2 linked regions of the Arabidopsis thaliana genome follow. The protein of the gene in region 2 purifies or fractionates together with the protein of the main gene of each other region. This does not show direct contact. Each region holds a gene or a part of one and is shown on either strand. Other genes may lie near its edges.

Region 1 (3,753 bases), on a different chromosome or scaffold from region 2:
AACTTTGTAAGACAGATGAAAGGAGCAATGAATTTGTAATCCAGTTAAGCTAAAATGAGATGGTAACGTGATTGTTACTCAAATCTCTGGTTTGGGTTTTTTACACTTTCAGGGACCAGAGAAAACAACCGATCCTGACAAAAGCAATATCTGTTATCCTACACACACACAATATAAAAGTCATTGACATACCACCGCTTGTGCCATCTCAACAAACACCATTTCACTAGTCTATATGGGCTCCATCATCTGAACAAGAACCATTCAATTGTTGGCTTTTGGCATCAGCAATCCTCGCCGCACTTCAGTCATGTAATCCGTTGGCGATGGAGGAGGTAATGTCTTGTTTGCTGCAGCCAGGATCTGTAATTGTTTTGACACAAAACAAGAGATGGGGTCTCATCATTCATGTACTCACATCTTTAGAAAAACTAGAAGCATATGATAAGAGTTTGAAGTTAGTTCCACCTGATGAGGTAGTTTACCCCAAACACTCCCTCCATAGTACATGATTGGTCGCACTGTGAAACAGAGAAAGTAGGCAAACTTGAAAATCAGTTATACTTGACTAACCGGAAGACAGAGATCCAGATAAGAACATAGATATATCTGATTGTATTTGGAGGCAACTCAAGCAGCACAAGTATAATAGACACAAAGGACAAAGGAAAACTTAGAATCCCTTAATCTCACCAGATAGATCCACAGTTGGGTCGTCGTATTGATGCATTTCAGCTGCCCATCCTGTTCATGACAAATCAAGAGCACGTAAATAAGACAAGTACATAAAACTGACTGCATAAGCAGTGAATTCAACACACCTTATCTATTAAGTTCAAAGATTTCTAAAACTAGCACTGACTCAACAAATGCTTAGCATAGCAACAGTTGATAGAAGAACGACCAGATAGTGATACAGAGCAAAGAATAAACCAGCTAAATGTTTAAAGAGATAGTTCAGATTTATACGTTGGCTCATGAGCTGATAAGCTGCACTCCTGGAGCAGTCCTTTATTGTTATTATCCTCTGGGTCTGGGATATGTTTTCCATCTGAAGACCAGTAGCAGGAGGCTGATTTCTCTCATTATCGTTGTTCTGTTGGCTACTTGTTCGATCTGCATTTCACTCTTTATTTAGCCAAGAACCATAGCATACTAGCAAAACCAGATATAGCTTGAACGACGATTTATTTTCAAGAAAACAGGCAAACAAATGGGTCAAGTACACACATGGAGAAATGAATCAACCAGCGGATTTGCTAATAAAGAGAGAGCGAGATCTGAATTTCAGGCTAAACTCCTAATAATTCACTTTCTTAGAAACGGTTCTTGAAGTTACCAACTATGCACAAACACAATGTGTACAGATTCGCATGCAATCAATTCCTGAATCTACAAAACAAGATTACTTCTATTCATCGACAATCTTTGATCTAAGCTATAATCTCCACAGAACTAGATACTCTCGGAATTAAGAACCGAATTGATTAAGAATCAATAAAGAACGACTGAGGCAAAGAAGACAGAGAGAGAGAGAGAGAGCTCACATACCTCCCGACTTCCGGCGATTCCCAGAAGCCTTCCTGTGACACGGAGAAGCAACATCGAAAGGTAAGAACGGAGTAGCGAAATCAGTAGAATAAAGAACACTCGAAATCAGCAGATCAAAGACCACTGAAGAAGAAGAAGAAGAAGTTACCTTTGATTAGGAGGAGTGTATCGATTCTGATTGGAGCTCGAATCCGCCATTGACGAGTTAGGATTTACGCAGTTTTTTCAGAGAACTCTCTCTCTCTCTCTCTCTCTCTCTACCGGAGGAGATCTGTCAACAGTCAACTGTTTAACGCATAGAGAACGTTGAAAAGCGTCTTCTCGTCTGAAGTCGTTCAATCTTCACGCGCGAATTCTTCGACGCGTGTTTATCAACCTCTCGCGCGCTTTTATTACGCCTTTCCGAAATTAACGTTTCGTGTTCAATTTCCGGTTTGCTGAACCAACTGTATGTAGATTTCTGGTTGAAACATCTACTGGTCCACCATTGGACTTTATGGGCCTTACTACATTTTTGGGCCCAATATTGTAATTTAGCTGATGGATCCAAAACCGGAATCGGATCTGTACCCGCTCCATCGTGAGGTCTCTCACAGCGAAAGAAGGGTTTTGAGGGTTTTCACACCTTTCGCTGTTTCCTCGTCAATTTCTTTGTTTGGTTGTTCTTTCTTCGCATCCAAAGATGAAGCTCGTCAGGTACTGTTTCGTTCTCAGTTCTTCTTTTCTTTAGAAAATTCATGTTGTTCTTAATCTTAGTTAGCTCCTGGCATGGAATCCATTCCCAATATTGAGCCTGAGCTGATTTGTGTTATATGGTTTTGATTGGATCGAGTAGGTTTTTGATGAAGTTAAACAATGAAACTGTGTCTATCGAGCTGAAGAATGGGACTGTGGTCCATGGAACCATCACTGGTAAGTTCTTATTGTTAGCTTCCGGTTTCTTTGTAGCTCTTCTCATCTTTTCTTCTCTCTCGATTTCTCCGTTGCTAGGTCTTATACAAGTCGCGATCTGTTCCCTTATTTTCAATTGGCCCTAATCGCGTCCTTGTGATCACATGAATAGGTTGAGTAAACACACAGTTAGAGCCAGTAGTCATAAAGGTATATTTATTGAAGTTTAAGCTTGATGATTTGGGCAGGTGTTGATGTGAGCATGAACACTCACTTGAAGACAGTGAAGATGAGCCTGAAGGGGAAAAACCCAGTAACACTTGATCATCTTAGCTTGAGGGGTAATAATATTCGCTACTACATTCTTCCTGATAGCTTGAACCTCGAGACTTTACTTGTGGAAGACACTCCTAGAGTTAAACCTAAGAAGCCTGTTGCTGGTACTGCTTCATTCATTTTTGGTGTTTGTAATATTCGTCTTCATAAGCTAAAAGACTTCTTTATCAGTCCATTTATTCGTTCTCTCTTTCTTTCTTCTTTAGGGAAAGCTGTTGGACGCGGTCGCGGACGTGGCCGTGGGCGTGGTCGCGGCAGAGGTCGTTAGATGTAGCAGCGCTCTGGAACATGTTGAAGGTTTGTGAGTTTAATTTTTAGGAGAATGTACGAGTTATGTAACTAGCAACTCTGGCAAAGGAAAGATTTGATTGAGAAATAGTATGATTGATGCTCTAGTAAGGAGTTACTTTGTAATGGAATTCCATGGATAACAAGATTTGGCTTTACATGTTATAAGAGCATCTACAAGTAGAGAATTTGTGTGATACTGATAGCTCAAGACTTTTTATTCATTTAACAAATCTGACTATCAAATTGCATTAACATGTTGACAATCTTAGTATAGAAAAACTGCTATCTCCTCCGTTAATCTTCCACATGAAACCTATCTCACATGATCCTGCAATTGGGATCTTGATTGTAAACGGGTTCCCCGATCTGATTGTAGGGATCACACGGGTAGGGATAGGAAGATGGCACACCATATCCATCATGAGGCCATGGTTGATAACATGGCTCAGGTTTTTGCCATGGTTGACAACATGGCTCAGGTTTCTTCTCTTCAGGTTTCTTCTCTTCGGGTTTCTTCTCTTCGGGTTTCTTTTCTTCTTCTGGCTTTTTGTCACCATCCTTAGGTGGTTCAACTTTAGCTACGCTAACAAGCTCCGCAAATGCAACTTTTTTCCTGAGTGTGTTGATTAGAGCAATCATATCGACTTCAACACCGGTCACCTCAATCTGGTTCCTGTGATCTCC
Region 2 (3,753 bases):
TCTCTCTATGATTTGATTTTGTGAACGGGATTCACTAACCTTGATGCCATAGTAAAATGGATTAGCTCTGTAAAGTGTGACATAAACTTTGGGGATGGATGGATATCAATCAATGTTATGGTACCAACAACGGATCTTTATTATACCATGTCCTTGTTTTGTTGAGCTGAAAAATCATGCTTCATTTTGTCTCTACGTATCCTTACATGGTTATTTATTATTGTGTACTGGTAAACTTGAGTGCAAAATATAATGTGATAGGTGGAAGGTCTGATGAGGTTGATGGAGGGAGAACATGTCGGTCCATTTAACCTTGGTAACCCCGGTGAATTCACCATGCTCGAGCTCGCTAAGGTACATTTTTCTCTTGTTGTTACATATAATCTGATCACTCAAAATCTTTGTATCTGACCCAAACGAGTGGATGGTGGGTGAGCAGGTGGTTCAAGAGACAATTGACCCGAACGCAAAGATAGAGTTCAGACCAAACACAGAGGACGACCCACACAAGAGGAAACCAGACATCACAAAGGCCAAAGAGCTTCTTGGTTGGGAACCAAAGGTGGCTCTACGCCAAGGACTCCCACTTATGGTCAAAGATTTCCGTCAACGTGTCTTTGGCGACCAAAAGCAGGATTCTTCCACCACTTCATCATCAACAGAGTAACTGTCGCTGGAGATTCTCGTTTCTCTTCGTTTTCATTTTTAATTTTGATATTTCTATTCCTGTCAATGTAGTGATATTGAAACCTCACCGATTTTAAAGTTTTATTTTTTTTAATGCAATCACCGTAGTTTTGAGCTTGGACATGCGAGCTGAACAAACAACAAACAAGGAACATGTCTTTAAAAGATCTTTAAAAGATCTTGTCAATTCGGACATAAACGAAAATGAGACGAATAACTTTAAAAGATGCTACTACCTACAAGAATTTATCAGTTTTAGCACAACAAACAAGGAACATGTCTCTAAGTCTCTCTTCCTCTCATTTTGGATTCCTGAGGACGATAATGACCGAGTCTCCACGTAGAAACATCTTGCTTATGAACCGATCTCTGTTCACCGGAAGTGCTTTCTTCTTGCCTTTCCCAGTTTTCGGAACCTAAACCAAACCAACGCCATCTCAGGCACCACAAGTTTTATATGTAGACAAAACTGATTTCAGGATAATGAATATTGGCTACCTCAGTCCACATCTCTCTGACATTTTCAAGAACCATGTTGCAGTGTCTGTCAAACGCCCTCACTCGCCCAAGAAGTTTCCTGTTGTTCCGGCAATTGATTAAAACCTGAACATAAAAAAGTTGACCTTGTTAATAACCTTTCCATTTTAACCACTCTTCGTTATACATTTCAATATTTCATTGTCTAACACCTAGCCCATGAAGGTCAAAAACATCTATCCATTTAATCAGTTTTCATATACAACATCATTATCTAACATCAGAAGCTCAATACATCTCCTAGAGATCTCTATACCTGAGTGTTATTCTTGACGCTCATCATAAGAACAGAGAGTGGCCCGGTGTTGAATTCCTCTTCCTCAGTCTTGCCCTGCTAAGGACAGTATCAAGCATGATGAATTAGAAACAACATTTAAGGAGAGAACACATCCTTAAGAGTATCATACAAGCAGGAAACTAATGGAGTTTATAACAGCAACAATCAAATGACATTACAACAAAGGGCAGAAGTGATGAAAACATCCAATTCTCTACTGCCCATTCAACGCAGAACGGAACAAAAATTCAGTGAAAATCTTTAGTGGCACAGTCCTACTCAAGTACTAGAGACAGCTAAGATTGATGAAACTGGAAACAGTAGATGAATTATGGCAAACAGCGAATCGAGAAAAGCAGTAGCGAGAGAAATTAGAAGGAAGCTTACATTGGTATCCTCTTCCATTGGCTTGCTGCGAGAAAAAATATAGAAAATCAAGAGAAACACCACAGTGTTAGACAAGTCTCAAATTGAGCACCACAAAATGCAGAAGAAACTTAGAACCATCGAGAGATATACCTCATGTTGACTTATCGCGAGCTTCTTCTCCACAAAGAATCACCGAACCTATCAAAGTAAAGGAATACGAAAGAGACTCAGGAAAGCAGAATTACAGATTTTCGCACAAGGAAAGATCGAAGAAGTTAGGGTTTTACCTTACCTGATAAATCTCGCTTTCGTTTTCCGCAGATCTCTCTCTCAGAGGAAGAAGAAGAACGACGACTCGATACTCGAAAGTACTTGGCGGACCGGCGCTACAACATAGTTAAGTTAGGCCTTTCAAATTTTGGGCCTTGTCAATTTATATGGGCTTTAATGTTTTTTTTGGGGGGCTTTAACGTTTTCCAAACGAATATAAATATTTTAGGTAGCCATAACTTATAAATTCTTTGGGCCATACATTTTCAAATTTCAAACCATGAGACCACCAATCTTTAATAATTCACACAAAATCATAACTCTCTTTTTCATAAATTGTTTTTTGTTTGCCTTGATAAAATTTTATTACACAGTGGATCGTGGAACCAAACGGCCACGGTTCAAACCACAAAGGAGATTGAAGAAGGGACGTTTAGGCCTCCTATGACCGTTACTAACGCCGTTAACAGTAGTTACCCTCTGGACGCTCGTAGTGTTACCAACTCGTATAGGAGTGACAGTGAGAGAGGCAGGGTCAGCGGTTCGAAGGTCAAGCCAATTGATGATGTCAGCAAAAACAAGGTCCACGTTACAGTCAGGCTCACCTGACGTCAGAGCGTGCCACATCCCTGGATACAACTTGAGCGTCTTGTCCCTTGTGCTAGCTTTCTCGTACAGAGCTTTGCTTACCTCTGGATCCGTCACTGTATCTGCTTCTCCGTGTAATACAAAGAATGGCATTGTTATCTGCAATATCATGTTGTCTTGGTCAGAAATAATGTCATAACACGGGATCAAGAACAATCAATAAGAGACATGAACCTCGTGGAGAGTGTCTTCTAGGTTCATGCTTGTCCTAAGCATCTCAAGTGCGGTTTTGAGCCTAGGCTTGTCTTGATATATCAGCTTGTTGTTCCTTACCTGCATTTACACACACCAAATTATTTACATATAACCAATTTCGATGGTGATCAGAGGGTTGGTATACACTATACAGACCTCTTCTCGCTTGACGAGGTCCTTGAAAGCAGCGTCAATCACGTCTTTTGTTGGAACTATTTTCCATTTAGGTATGATTTCTTCGACTCTAGTTAACAGATTAATCACTATAGGGTGTGGCTTCACCTTCTCAGATATCTGCATATTTAAACATAACAATATACTTTGCATTTCAATATTATTATCACCTACGACTCTGCAATCTAAAATTATAGTTGCAGGTTTTTTACCTTACACATTGGAGCAACTAGAATGGCGCCGTTCCAAAACAAAGGATCTTTTTTGTGAAGCAATAAAGTGACTGCGCCTCCCATGGATTCTCCATACAAGAATCTGCCTTTGTCCATGTACTCCTCTTGCGCTGGTGTCACATAAAATTAACCGGATTAACTTAAGGGGTTGAGAAAATCTCTTCTTACTGATAAACGGAGAAGAAGAGAGAGAGGAATGTTATTGTTATATATGTCAAATGAAATACCACAAATAGATGTGTAGTAGTCATAGCAATCATTCACAACATTCGCAAACTTCTTGATGTAGCAACGAGATCCCATGGACCTTCCATGACCTTCATAGTCCATACCAAAAACCGCGTATCCAGCTGAAGCCAGCCT

What was found.
Region 1: the proteins of AT2G47640 (region 2) and AT3G07590 fractionate together in Arabidopsis thaliana (co-fractionation; one large-scale study listed by BioGRID). This does not show direct contact.

The regions. Positions count from the first base shown.
Region 1 is NC_003074.8:2,420,913-2,424,665, forward strand, and holds AT3G07590 (Small nuclear ribonucleoprotein family protein), read left to right. Parts: upstream 1-2,138; 5' UTR 2,139-2,233; coding exon 2,234-2,247; intron 2,248-2,386; coding exon 2,387-2,463; intron 2,464-2,541; exon of another isoform or gene 2,542-2,677; coding exon of another isoform or gene 2,678-2,690; coding exon 2,691-2,882; intron 2,883-2,984; coding exon 2,985-3,046; 3' UTR 3,047-3,075; downstream 3,076-3,753. Other genes in the region: AT3G07580 (uncharacterized protein), read right to left, coding at 265-363, 469-521, 694-744, 970-1,116, 1,552-1,583, 1,700-1,749; AT3G07600 (Heavy metal transport/detoxification superfamily protein), read right to left, coding at 3,388-3,753. UniProt on the Arabidopsis thaliana protein: Involved in splicing regulation.
Region 2 is NC_003071.7:19,535,665-19,539,417, reverse strand, and holds AT2G47640 (Small nuclear ribonucleoprotein family protein), read right to left. Parts: upstream 2,245-3,753; 5' UTR 2,163-2,244; exon of another isoform or gene 2,158-2,162; intron 2,069-2,157; 5' UTR 2,026-2,068; coding exon 2,021-2,025; intron 1,914-2,020; coding exon 1,889-1,913; intron 1,559-1,888; coding exon 1,481-1,558; intron 1,291-1,480; coding exon 1,186-1,290; intron 1,104-1,185; coding exon 987-1,103; 3' UTR 668-986; downstream 1-667. Other genes in the region: UXS4 (UDP-xylose synthase 4), read left to right, coding at 262-354, 422-667; AT2G47630 (alpha/beta-Hydrolases superfamily protein), read right to left, coding at 2,507-2,887, 2,963-3,061, 3,140-3,277, 3,370-3,500, 3,618-3,753.